Linked DNA regions of Caenorhabditis elegans. The protein of the gene in region 1 interacts with the protein of each later gene in a pairwise test. Each region holds a gene or a part of one and is shown on either strand. Other genes may lie near its edges. The genes, in order: F23H12.5 and gap-3.

Region 1 (7,606 bases):
CACGTGTGCAAAGACAACGGATGTCGTGTCATTCAATCAACAGCTGAGCATTAGTATAATCCGTAAGCGGAATGCAATCAACAACGCTTCATTTTTCTCTGCAGTGTTATGCCAAGAATAATTCGAAAATGCGCACACCTGGCTACCAATAAGTTAGCGACCTGTGTGGTGCAATGCATATTCAATTGTATACGCGGTATCTGTCTACAGAGATGTCATTATTGAGCAATGTCTTCTGTTTTCAGATTCTGAATTTAAAATTCTTTATCACTTTTAACGACATAAGCTGCTAGAGACGTACGCCAGTCACGTAGTCGTCGTGAAGTTCGGTTTTGCTACATATCGATTGGCTGCCAATAATAATGAGTGCAATATTCGAGGGAAATCCTAAGCGTAAGCCTAAGCCTGAGCTCCATTATACTTTGAGTTTGAAAATAGTGTACGGGAAATTCCTATACTTCATTCTCTCAATTGACAGCCATGTGTTCCTTATAAACTTTTTGTTTCATGGATAGAGCAGGTGTGAAAACAGAGTGCTTTCCTCGAAAAACAATAAAACTTGGCCTCATTGACTACCCGGCGCCATTACAGAAACATGCGAGGCGCCGAAGAAAAAGATAATCTCACTAGATAAACTTTGAGGACGAAATGCCTAAAGAGACCGAGAAATGCGCAGGTTAAACACAGGGTTTTGACATCCGTGAGAATATTAATATTGAAAACGATTTGAAAAATCATCCAGAGAATGATAAATTCCGAAATTCGTTCTTTTCATCACAGCATGTGGCTTTCCTTGTCTCTTTTCTTTTTCCCAATTAACGGCTGATTCCCCATATCTCTTCACATTATTCTTATACGACTTTCACCCGAATGACCCCCTCTATCCGAAAAGAGAATTTGGATGAAAGGAAGCTAACCGACTGGAGACAACCTTTATTGAGACACACACACCGCACATCCTTTTGTCTTTCATCTACTTTTTATATTTATTCCTTTATAGAACTTTTCACTTTTTTTGTGTGAAATACAAGCAGGAACGAACATTTTGATGATTTCATTTTTATCATACTTTATTCACAGCTATCATTCTTCTTTAAATACGAAAAACTTCAGATTAGAGAATAAATTCAAATAGAGTATTTGGAAAAAAGAAGTATTCTTATGCAGTCTTGCACTCAATTTTTTTACTTTGACATCGTGTAGTTCGAATATTTTTGGTTTTATCAAAACTTTTTCAAGAAACGAAATACGCGCCAACAAATTTTCTATGATTTAATACTTCAATAATTTTTGGTAAAATTAAAGACAACCGAAATATGAGCTGTCGAAGTAGACTAAAACTGGTACCATAGGAAAATTACGGTCTTTTCATATTTCTGAAAATACAGCGAAGATTTCTTTTAAGTATTTCTAATTTGACCCACAACTTTTGTCTCTTTTAATTCTCACAAACAAATACTCAACTAAATAAATGTAACCGTTAGCCAAATAATTCAATGCCATTTTTTTTGTTTTTCTTAGAAACTCTCCAACTTCGCATTGATTGATCTTTACCTCAGATATCCGTTCCTGTCTCTTTTTACCGTCACCTTATTCGCCACTCTTCTCAAGATTTTTAAGATTTCCATCTTTTTCGAGAAACACGCTCACCGGTATCAGAAAAAAAAGAAGAAAAAATACTTGTTCCTTTTCAGGATCATCCAGAAGACATAAAAACAACGGGAAGATTCAGTTATTTCAATATTTGGAAGAATGCGGATGAAACTTCTTTTTTTATTTCTCATGTCACTTATGGCATTTACCACATCACAATATGAACCATGTAAGATTTGAAAAATGTAATTTATTGGCTGAAAATATTTAATTTTAATTTAAACATTTTGAAGCTCCAACAAACAATTCAACTTTAAAAAATATTACAAACTAAAGCTGGAGGAGCGTCAAACTTTTCATAGCCCCCAAAAAACTGAAAATGACCCTAATTTTGTTCATGAGACCTACGTATTTCAGAATTTTCAAAAAAAAAATAATCAAGATTTTTACAAAAAGGCCAAACTGACAAAAGTAATTCAGCCAAATTATTCAATTTTGAAAATTTGTACGTTTCGAAATTTTAATACCACTTTATATAGTCTTGTTCATCAAAATTTCAAAGCGCAGATTTTCCATGAAGAAAAACTTTCGAGACCATTTTGATATTTGAACACCGAGTTTAAAAATTGTTTTACATAATTATTTAAATATTTCAGTATCAGTAATATCATCGTCTTGGTCAATGTGGTCTCCGTGGTCATTTTGTTCAAATAATTTAATGATTCGTGTTCGTGCTTGTTCGACAGTCCGTGGATACAAATGTCTCGGTCATAATAAGGTAAGAATGCTTTCCCAGTTCAGGGCGTTGGTTGAGACACTAGTAATGTCACACAATTTTATCATTTTGATGTTCTCCTATCACTAACCCACATTCGTCGTTTCTCTCGACCCATTGATAATTAACGTGTCGAAAAAGGATTAACTTTTCAAGGGCGTTTAACCGAATTGTTTTTTCAATGAAGTATTTTTCAGGAATTTCAATCCTGTAACTCTCCACCAAAGAGAAATAGTTTGGATTATGAAGATCCTGAGACAGCTGATCGAGAAATGGCAATGAAACAATTATATCAAGATTATGAACCAGAAATTCCGGATGAAGCAAAGTGTTCGTTTTAAAAAATTGTTTCATAAACTGAAATTTGGAAAAAAACATTCAAAAAATCATCAAAACTTATTTTAAAAAGAAGTTTGAATGCATGTTACATTTTTACTTGGGAATCCAGTAATAATATCGATTTGACTAATTGCAAATTTAAATAATTTTTTCAATTTTCCAAAAAATTATTTTTCCAATTCTAAAAGAAAAAAATTAAATTAATTTAGATGCTCAAACTCGTGGAAATCGAAATTTTCACATGATATCTCAAACTACTGCAATGCCACCAGCTCCAAGAGGTTTTTTTAAATAGTGTTATGCTCAACAACCGATTACTTTACAGCACCGACATCTTCTCCAACTGTTTCCGCATCGACATCTGATCATTTCTCGGTGATGAATCGTGGTGGAACTGGTGTTGGAATGATGACTGATGAGGAAGAAGAATATTTTGATGAGACTGTAAAAATGTCTCCACAATCTCCAAAACCAACATATCCATCTGTTCCAAGTACATTTGAGTTTGAAAAGTATCCAAAGAGCACTGAAGAACCAACATCAACTCCTTCAACTTCAACATCTACAACTACTACAACCACAACTTCAACGACGACGACGACGACAGAAGCTCCAACAACCACAACAACAATTAAAACAACAACTGAATCAATTGAACCGATTCCACAAACCGTAACCCCAAATTCACCGAAAATTGTCGATCACGAGGCATTTGTTGAGCCAGAAGATGTGAATTTCCGTGGAAAATACACACTTGAAGAACCGCTTCCAGAAGTTTCCGTTCCAACATTTGCGGCTCCACCGGGAACTCAGACACCCGATTTTGAACTGGAAACTGAATCAACTGAAACCCCATCAACTCCATCATCGTTCCCAATTGATATGGATCCAGAAGACAGTACCGATGGGTCCACACACAGTGTTGGCTCATATTCGATTGGAAAAGAGCCAATGTGGGGAGAAGAGCCGGTTCCACTGGCTTCAAACACCCAAGCACCGTCAAGAAATATGCCAACTTTTGCCATTTCACCAAGCACTAGGCGACTTGGAGAAGTTAGACGAGCTCCTTCAACAGTGAATACACATATTGAAATGCCCATGTCTATGCTCCCATTTGTACCAACTGCAGCTGAAGAACCTCAAACTACTAGTTTCGAAGTGGAAACAACTACAGAAATTCCTCAACCATCATATCTGCAAAACCCAAGAATAGCTCTTGTCACATCTCAACAGAACTTCCAACATTTCCCAAAGCTCATGAATGAACAAAGAGCTTCACCAGGACCTTACTTTAGAACTGTTCCAAGTCCTTCCGAATATGATGAACCCACAACAACCAAGAAACCAAAAATAGTTACTGTTGAAATTACAAATAAACCATTGAAGAAGAAGAGAAGAAATAGAAGGTTGAAAAAATTAAACAGACTGGGAAAAATCAGAACAATGGCAGTACTTCCAACAGAGTACACTATTCCTGCTACTAAGCCAATGAAAGTACGAAAAATTGTATTTATAATAAAACGAATATTGTTTTACAGCCAATGCCAACTCCTGCCAAATACGAGATTCAAGAAGAAAATTTTATTGCTCCGAAGGCTACTGAACCTTCTGCCTCTGTAAGTCTTGCAATCGGAAAAGTAATGATCGATCAAAATATTTTATTCATTTTCAAAGATTTAAAATTCAAATTGTCCTTGTCATTAATATCAGTACTTGAGTTGTGGTCGGCATGTTCGATGGCTCAGTAGTAAGATGTTCCCTACTGATTATTTTGTTGTTGGCTTGGACCAAATCCAGCTTCTCTCTTTCCGTAATATCCATATCCTCCATAGTATGGGTATCCGTATCCGTAATAGCTACCGTATCCATAATAGGAAGATGGGTATCCATATCCTCCATATCCGTATCCATAGTATTGAGCATCAGTCTCAGCAACAAAAGCGCAGATGACGAGGAGAGAGACAAGAATGAGACTGAAAATTTATTGGTGAAATCTTGATTTTTTTTTAGTGTTATGGGAGAAACTTACAGTTTAGCGTTCATTTTGAGTGAAGTTTGAAGAATGAGCTAGAAAAGCTGATTGATGAATAACTCGAATACCTTTACTTTTATACTCTTTGAACTGATGTTTGCTCTGCACCCGCCGCAGGCAGTCAATTGTTTTTTCTTCATTTTTCAAACTGCCCATCGGTTTGACGCCCCAAAAATTTAGTTTGCTCAGGTTTTGACAGTTAAGAATGTAAAGGCAGAGCATCAAAGTCTAAGTTTACTCATTCCAAAGAGAATAGCCATTCACCTCACAATCAAGTCTTTTGATTTTCAGGAACCCCAGCCAACAAGGGCTTCGGAAAAAGATCGTCAAGTCTACGAGGAAAATCGAGAGCTGGAATCAAGAATAGCTGCTCTAAGAAATAAAGTGGAAATGAACAGGAAAATTCTAGCAACTATGAAAATACCAGAAGGGGTTGAGACACCAGTTGTCACAACAACTCAGAAACCATTAAAAGCATCTGAAGATTTGATGTTAGGAGGTGACACGGCTAGAGCACTTTCATGGATGATTAATGATATGGAAAGAATGGTAGATGATAAAACAAAAACTGAAGTTTCTGATCAATTACCTGTCGAGAAAATTGAAGAAGAACCAATTGGATTCAGGATAGGAGATGTAAGTTTCCTTTTTTAGCCAAAAAATAGCCAAGAATTTAATTTTAAAAATTCAAAGTTGTTTTAGATAATTTTTCTTGGAATAGCATTTGACAATTATTCTACAATATTTAAATGTTTCGGCATGCTACCATTTTTTTTAATTTTAAGATTCAGTGTCGATATATGGAAAAAAATAAATTATTCTGAAAATAAATATTAGTTGCAAAATTAAAAAAAAGATAAAACTTTTAACTTTTCAAATAAAAAAAAATTATTTTCTAAATATTAATTTTTCTGAAATTATTATCCAAACTGCCAAAAATAACTTCCGCACATTCATGCTAGAGTCCCGACCTTTTAACCGATTTTTCAAGAATTTTAAAATCTGAATTTTTCGAAAGTGAAGTTTCGTATTCCTCATTCATCTGGTTGTTTTTTTTTCAGTTTGAATCCGATGAAACAACAACTACAGTAAGCCCATTCCCATTCCCAATTCCTGAAAATGGATTTGCTCTGATTCGATCCAAGCGTGATGCTTCAACTCAATTCAAAAATGGAAAGAAAGGTAATTCGTTTTAATCAACTCCATTCTATTATCAGTTGATCTTATAGTTATCTGGTCTCCATGGAGCGAGTGGACCAAGTGTCAATGCGGCAAACAATCTCGGAAACGAAAGTGTCTCAAATATCTTGGCGGTTCAAAGTATGCGTACGATGATCGTAAGTTTGTTTGAGCTATTATTTGCCACTTTTCTCATTCTTTTTCCATCAAATTACTCCTCGTGCCAATGAATGGCCGTCCAATTATCATTAAATATTTGCACGTGATCGAAACACACTTGAGAAATAGATATCGAAAAAATTGTTGAATTGAACCTAATTGAAACCTAATGGGAGTAACAATGAACAAGAAACTTATTTATAGAAAAGTTCATTCCAATTGACCAATCTACAAACGATATTGAATTTGGTGAACCAGCAGAATTTCCAGAAGAACTTGAAGAACCAGCTCCGATGGATAGTCAAGAATATGAGAACTTAAATCGAGTAAAAAGATCACTAAAATGCCCATCACCTCAGATTGAAGTTCAATCATGTTCTTCTTCTGTTTGCTAATATTAATATTTTTTAGATCTGAAAATTTTAATTGCATTCCTTGGATTCTCAAAGCATATTTTCAAATTTCATTGTACATCACTTCCAACATCGCCCACTTTTTCTCTAATAACATAATAAGACTTCTTCAGATTTTCCATCCGCTAGCAATATGGGTATAACATGAGACATAACACACTATTTTGTAATCTGTCACGCTTTTAAAGATCATATTTTCATGTTTCTATATTTATTTTCAATTTGAAATAAATTTATAAATCTCTTTCTATTCATATGATATGTTTTCTTGTTTTCTTGAGGTGGTCTTGATTTCTAGGATTTCGTTGTTTTTATGCACTTTCTTCTTTCATTCCAAGAAGCCAGTAGGTCTGCATTACTCCTTTTCCCTGCAAGATTACGGTAGACGAGTCAATGTTTTAATTCAAACAAACCTTAATGATAACTTCTCCTCTACTTTCAGTATTGTATTCCTTGTATAATGAGGTCAATAAGTCATAACAATCAGACGATAAATGAATAAAACCCGCTGAAATATAATTTTTCAAAAGTTAAAAGTCTAGTTACAAACTAACGTTTTCCATTACTTTCCATTCGACTGGCAGTGTTCACAGTATCACCAAAAAGACAATATCTTGGCATTGTCAATCCAACAACACCTGCTACACAAGATCCAGAATGCATTCCAATTCGGATTTGAACTTTTTCTTGTGGTAAATGTGGGATTTTGAAGGCTTGAAGGCTCTGTAATGTTAAATGAAATGAGGAAAGATGATTTAAAAACTTACGTCCATCAGCTCCAAACTCATATTGGCAATATTTGCAACATGTTCCGTACCATTTCGGCGAGGTAGCCCAGAGACAACTAAATAGGCGTCGCCGATCGTTTCTACCTGGAAATAAAATCCTTATTGAACGTTATTAATTTTGTGAACTCAGTATACATCCAACAGATTTTTTTAAAATAAAATTATTTTCAAGAATTGTTTTTAAAATAAAAATTTCAACATTTTTTTTTTGAATCACGGCTTCGATCGAAATTATCCAATCTCGCTAATTTGACCGAATCTAGTTATCATTTGTTTTCACTCATATCATATGTTGATTGATTATTTTTTAAATTACTTAAAAAAATGT
Region 2 (5,126 bases), on another chromosome or scaffold:
GTATTGCACCATGTCCGTGGATACTGTATCGTAGAAGTACGGTAGATCCGACAAATCGGCCACCTCTGTGATCTGTAAAAGCACGGAATCTGAGAATTTCACGCGGTGTTGTAGAGTGTCTCTTGATCTACGCTGATCTACAAAAAAAAGCGGCAGAGCTCTCAACTGATTTCGCATGGTTAAGAGCGTGCTGAAGAAGCCACATTTTTTTGGAAAAAAAATTCCCGCATTTTTTGTAGATCAAACCGTAATGGGACAATCTGACACCACGTGAATTATCGAATTTTCCAAAAATTTGGCAAATTATTGATTTTCTTGAATAGTGTTAATTTATTGATTTTTCTGCCCCCGAAAATCGAGATTTATCGATTTTCTCAAATAGTGTTAATAAATTGGAGAAATCCAGCTTGGACCAAAAAAAAAAAATTTTTTTGTTTTTTTTTTCAGCAGGCAGGCATTAGGTAGGCAATTTATAAATGGGTCTCGCCGCGATTTTGTACCAAAATAAGTGTATTTGGTACGCCAAAGCCTACATTAGATATTACGGGAACACAAAATTCTGAAAATGCGTATTGCACAACATATTTGACGCGCAAAACATAAAAATATCTCTTAGCGAAAACTACAGTAACCCTTTAATTGACTACTGTAGCGCTTGTGTCAATTTACGGAAATCATTTATTAATCAATAAAATTAAATTTTAAAAGAAAACTCAAAAATGACATTTCGTAATTTTTTTTTGCCATTTTTGTGTTTTCTTTTAAAATTTAATTTTATTGATTAATAAATGACTTCCGTAAATCGATACAAGCGCTACAGTAGTCAATTAAAGGGTTACTGTAGTTTTCGCTACGAGATATTTTTATGTTTTGCGCGTCAAATATGTTGTGCAATACGCATTCTCAGAATTTTGTGTTCCCGTAATATTAGCACAATTTCGCCTTTTTTAATTAATTTTTTAAATTTTTTGTAGAAAATTGTGAAAAAAAACGTAACATTTTTTTGCTTAAAAATTGTAATTTTTCATCAGTTTTTTCCTAGAATTTTCAAATTTTCAGTTAGAAATTTCCAGTCTTTCCTACTTTTCCCTACCAAAGGTTCCAAATGTGATCTTAAAATAATTCCAACGGAACCGCTCGTCTCATTTCGTCCTAACATCCATCCGGTCTCGTCGGTCTCACAAACTGACAGAATATCACCGATTTCCGAGTTCATTTCGTCGATTTCGCGTTGTTCGAATCGTCTAACGCATAGGTACTTGGTTTCTTGGATTTCCTGGAAACAAATTTTATGGTATATTAAAATTCCGGCATGCACGGGGTGCCAGCGACTGTCCCATTACGTTTTGATCTACAAAAAATGCGGGAATTTTTTGCAAAATCAGTTGAAAACTCTGCCGCATTTTTTGTAGATCTAAGTAGATCAAACCGAAATGAGACCACGTGGACATGTTTGCGCGTTAAATTTGATCTACTCGATTACGGACTCAATACACCATATTTTACGCGCAAAAACTACTACTATTACAGATAATTCTACAAAACTTTATATTCGTGTATATCGATATTCTGACCAATTCGTCATATTTGACGCACAAATTATAAATTATTACGGGAAGACTAAATTCTGAGAATGCGTATTACACAACATATTTGACGCGCAAAATATCTCGTAGCGAAAACTACAGTAACCCTTTAAATGATTACTGTAGCGCTCTTGCGTCGATTTACGGAAATCATTTATTAATCTATAAAATTAAATTTTAAAAGAAAACACAAAAATGGCAAAAAATAACGAAAAAACCAATGAGAATTGTATTTTTTTGCCATTTTTGAGATTTCTTTTAAAATTTAATTTTATTGATTAATAATTGACTTCCGTAAATCGACACAAGCGCTACAGTAGTCAATTAAAGGGTTACTGTAGTTTTCGCTACGAGATATTTTGCGCGTCAAATATGTTGTGTGATACACATTCTCAGAATTTTGTGTTTTCGTAAGACATGGAGTAATTTAATTGTTTTTTTAAATTAAATTTGCGCGTTAAATTTGATCTACTCGATTACAGACTCAAGACACTCTATTTTACGCGCAATATTATAAATTTCTTTTTTTTCTCTGAAAAATCACTTTAAAATCCAACAAATTATCCAATAATGCAAAAATTTGCGCGTCAAATATGGTGTATCACACGTGGTGTCAGAGTGTCTTATTTTGGCTTGAATAAAGTTGATCTACAAAAAATGCGGCAGAGTTCTCAACTGATTTGGCATGTTTTTGGGCGAAAAATTCCCGCATTTTTTGTAGATCAAACCGTAATGGGGCAAAAAAATACCCCATTAATCGGCATAATTCCTCCTTTTCGAACTGGAATCACAGCCAGCTGATAGGCATCTACAATATCTCGAAGGGTCTCGAAACGCTTTCCTTCGAAAAAGTAGTGAGGTGGGGTGAGTTGGCGGATGCTGAAAAAAATTTGAATTTTAAATTTTTATGTTTAAAAACCAACGGTAAATGTTTCGGATAGCCGTCTTGATCCAATATCGACAGATAAAATCTCGTCTGGCCAGTTTGCCGAACCAAAAACGCGCCGGGAGATGTGCCCTGGAATGTTTTGCCGGTTTTTTGCCATTTTTTGCCATTTTTTTTGTAATTTTTCGCAAAAGAAACCTGAAGCAAATGATTGGCATCGTGTTCGTTTAATTCCCCATGGTACCACACATCGTTTGGCGATATATCAGGCGGTGTTGGGTTCGTGTGAGTCTGCGAAAAAACAATTCCTTTTTTTTAACTTAGGATTTTTTAGAATATTTTAAACTGTAAATATAATTGATTTTCGATGAAAATAAATAATATAAATGGTATTTTTCTAATTTTTTCTAATTTTTCCTTTTTTTCCTCGATTTTCACTTGTTTCGCCCTCACTTTTAGAAACAATGGCCCTTCCGTGCTGCTGTTAGGTGTAGTATTCTCGCTTGAGTGCATAACTTTTCATTTGCACCTGAAAAATGCCAAAAAATTATTGATTTTCATCAAAAAACAGGAAAACAAATTCAAAAAAATGCGAAAAATCGGACGGGTACGCAATTTTGCGTGACGGTGTACGTACTGGGGAAATGGAGGGAAATTTGAATTTTAATTAATTTTCGATGATTTTCGATGAAAAAACCTGATTTTCAGGTAGAAAATTAGAGTTTTAAACCAAAATTTTGTTTGGAAATTCGAAAATTTGCGCTGGAAGCTAAAAAAAAACAATATTTAATTGTCTTGGCCTGATTTTGGAATGTGAATTCCATAGATATCAACTCCGCAAATGTTTTTTTTTTCTTATTTTTATCGTTTTCAGCTAATTAGAAAACTTTTTTTTTAATTTTAGGTGAAAAAATGCAAAGTTTCATCGAAAAGTACTAGAAAATGTTTAAAAAATACAAAATCCGGAGGAGGCAGTGGAAAGTGAACTCCGTAGATTTCAACTCCGTGGGATTAATCCCAGTTTTGCTAATTTTCAGTCTATTTTTTAAATTTTTAATTTGAAAACAAAACGTTTTTTTTAATTCCTTTTTAAAAAACCCATCGAAATGGAAAAAAAACCCGGGGAAGGCAGTGGAATTTGAATTTGGTAGATTTCAACTCCGTGGAATCAAGCTTGAACAATTTCAATAAAAATTCAAAGTTTCCTCAAAAAAAAAGGTGGTAAACGGTAGGAAATAGGTTGTGAATAAAGTGATAAAAGTTGAAGAAAAGAAATCGAAAGAGAAGGGGGGAGAAAAGGACGCATATTATTACACCCACGCAGTCTTCTTCTTCTTCTTTCTCACAATATACACACACACACACAGACACCAGATCACTTTTCTGTGTGTGTGTATATGTGTCTGCGTCTCTACCACGAATCACTGTCTCTCTCTCGGTTTTCTGTGTCTCTTGTACAGCGAGAGAGAGAGCACCGGAAGTTCGGATGATGGACCATTTGTGAAAGTGGGAAATGGAGGACGGAGAACACGGAAAGTTTTGGAATTTATTCAAATATTTTGGGTAATACCTAAAAATAAAGAATTTTCGTGAAAAAAATTGTCGTTGTGATAACAGATAACACAGTGATAACAAGACATGTGATTAAAAATTATGTTTTTTTTTTGAAAATTTTATTTTTTACAGCTGGAAAAGTTTAAACGTGTACACGTGGTGTCAGAGTGTCTCTTATTTCGGTTTGATCTACGTTGATCTACAAAAAATGCGGGAGAAGAGACGCATAGTTTTCAACTGATTTTGCATGGTTAAGAACGTGCTGACGTCACATTTTTTTGGGCGAAAAATTCCCGCATTTTTTGTAGATCAAACCGTATTGGGACAGCCCCTGGCACTACTTGCGTGTGGAGACAGCGCCAAAACACCACATGGTGTATTGGCTGCGCCTACTTTTTCAATGAAATTTTACATTTTTAGAGCAGTTTTGCCGTAAAATTCAGCTGTTTTTTATTGTTTGAAGAAAAAAAGGAAAATTAATGGGACAAGTACCAGCTCCTGCTCCTCCGGGCTTCTTCTTTTTTTCTTTTTTTTTGCCAATTATTATTACTCGGAGGAAGTTTTTTTTTTTTTTTTTGTTGCAATATTTTTTTTTCTAAAAGAATTTTAATTTTAAATTCTTATAACCGGTTATATAACCTAAAATTCAAAAATTGAGAAATTTTTTTAAATTTTGAAGTTTACCGCCCTCAAAGGATATTTGAATTGTTTTAAATTTTTCGTTTTTTTTTTGAAACAAAAAATTTTGAAAAAAAAAATTGAATAAAAATTCACGGATTTCTGGCTTCCCTCATATATTGAAATAAAAGAGTTTTTGCCGAACTAGGCCATCTTGGCTCTACCATACCTGGGGTAGATTTACGGCGCGTTGCGTGTCGCGTCGCGGCTCGATTTTAGTTGTAAAACTAAATGTATTTGTCCGTGTGGAGTACACGACTTTCCCACGCGTTATCCGGCAGGCGGTTGTCAATGGAGCGCGAAAAGTTCAACGAGGAAGACCAGAACTCCGTGGAAAATTTTTTGGTAATTTAGTAATATAATTTTCAAAATAATTGTTATACTAAAAATTTGGCTCGGTGTTCAACTTTTTCAAAAAACAA

The links.
Region 2: the proteins of F23H12.5 (region 1) and gap-3 interact in a two-hybrid assay, tested with the Caenorhabditis elegans proteins (one large-scale study listed by BioGRID).

Annotation. Positions count from the first base shown.
Region 1 is NC_003283.11:12,356,953-12,364,558, forward strand, and holds F23H12.5 (Flocculation protein FLO11), read left to right. Parts: upstream 1-1,694; 5' UTR 1,695-1,752; coding exon 1,753-1,822; intron 1,823-2,249; coding exon 2,250-2,371; intron 2,372-2,565; coding exon 2,566-2,698; intron 2,699-2,916; coding exon 2,917-2,988; intron 2,989-3,032; coding exon 3,033-4,201; intron 4,202-4,245; coding exon 4,246-4,323; intron 4,324-4,348; exon of another isoform or gene 4,349-4,466; coding exon of another isoform or gene 4,467-4,680; intron 4,681-4,736; coding exon of another isoform or gene 4,737-4,750; exon of another isoform or gene 4,751-4,792; intron 4,793-5,030; coding exon 5,031-5,375; intron 5,376-5,800; coding exon 5,801-5,921; intron 5,922-5,968; coding exon 5,969-6,076; intron 6,077-6,281; coding exon 6,282-6,472; 3' UTR 6,473-6,801; coding exon of another isoform or gene 6,802-6,858; 3' UTR 6,859-6,903; downstream 6,904-7,606. Other genes in the region: fipr-1 (FIP (Fungus-Induced Protein) Related), read right to left, coding at 4,467-4,680, 4,737-4,750; Receptor-type guanylate cyclase gcy-13, read right to left, coding at 6,802-6,858, 6,904-6,998, 7,045-7,213, 7,258-7,362.
Region 2 is NC_003279.8:2,007,495-2,012,620, forward strand, and holds the start of gap-3 (SH2 domain-containing protein), read right to left. Parts: upstream 3,032-5,126; 5' UTR 2,986-3,031; coding exon 2,926-2,985; intron 2,764-2,925; coding exon 2,671-2,763; intron 2,605-2,670; coding exon 2,510-2,604; intron 2,466-2,509; coding exon 2,336-2,465; intron 1,277-2,335; coding exon 1,094-1,276; intron 73-1,093; coding exon 1-72.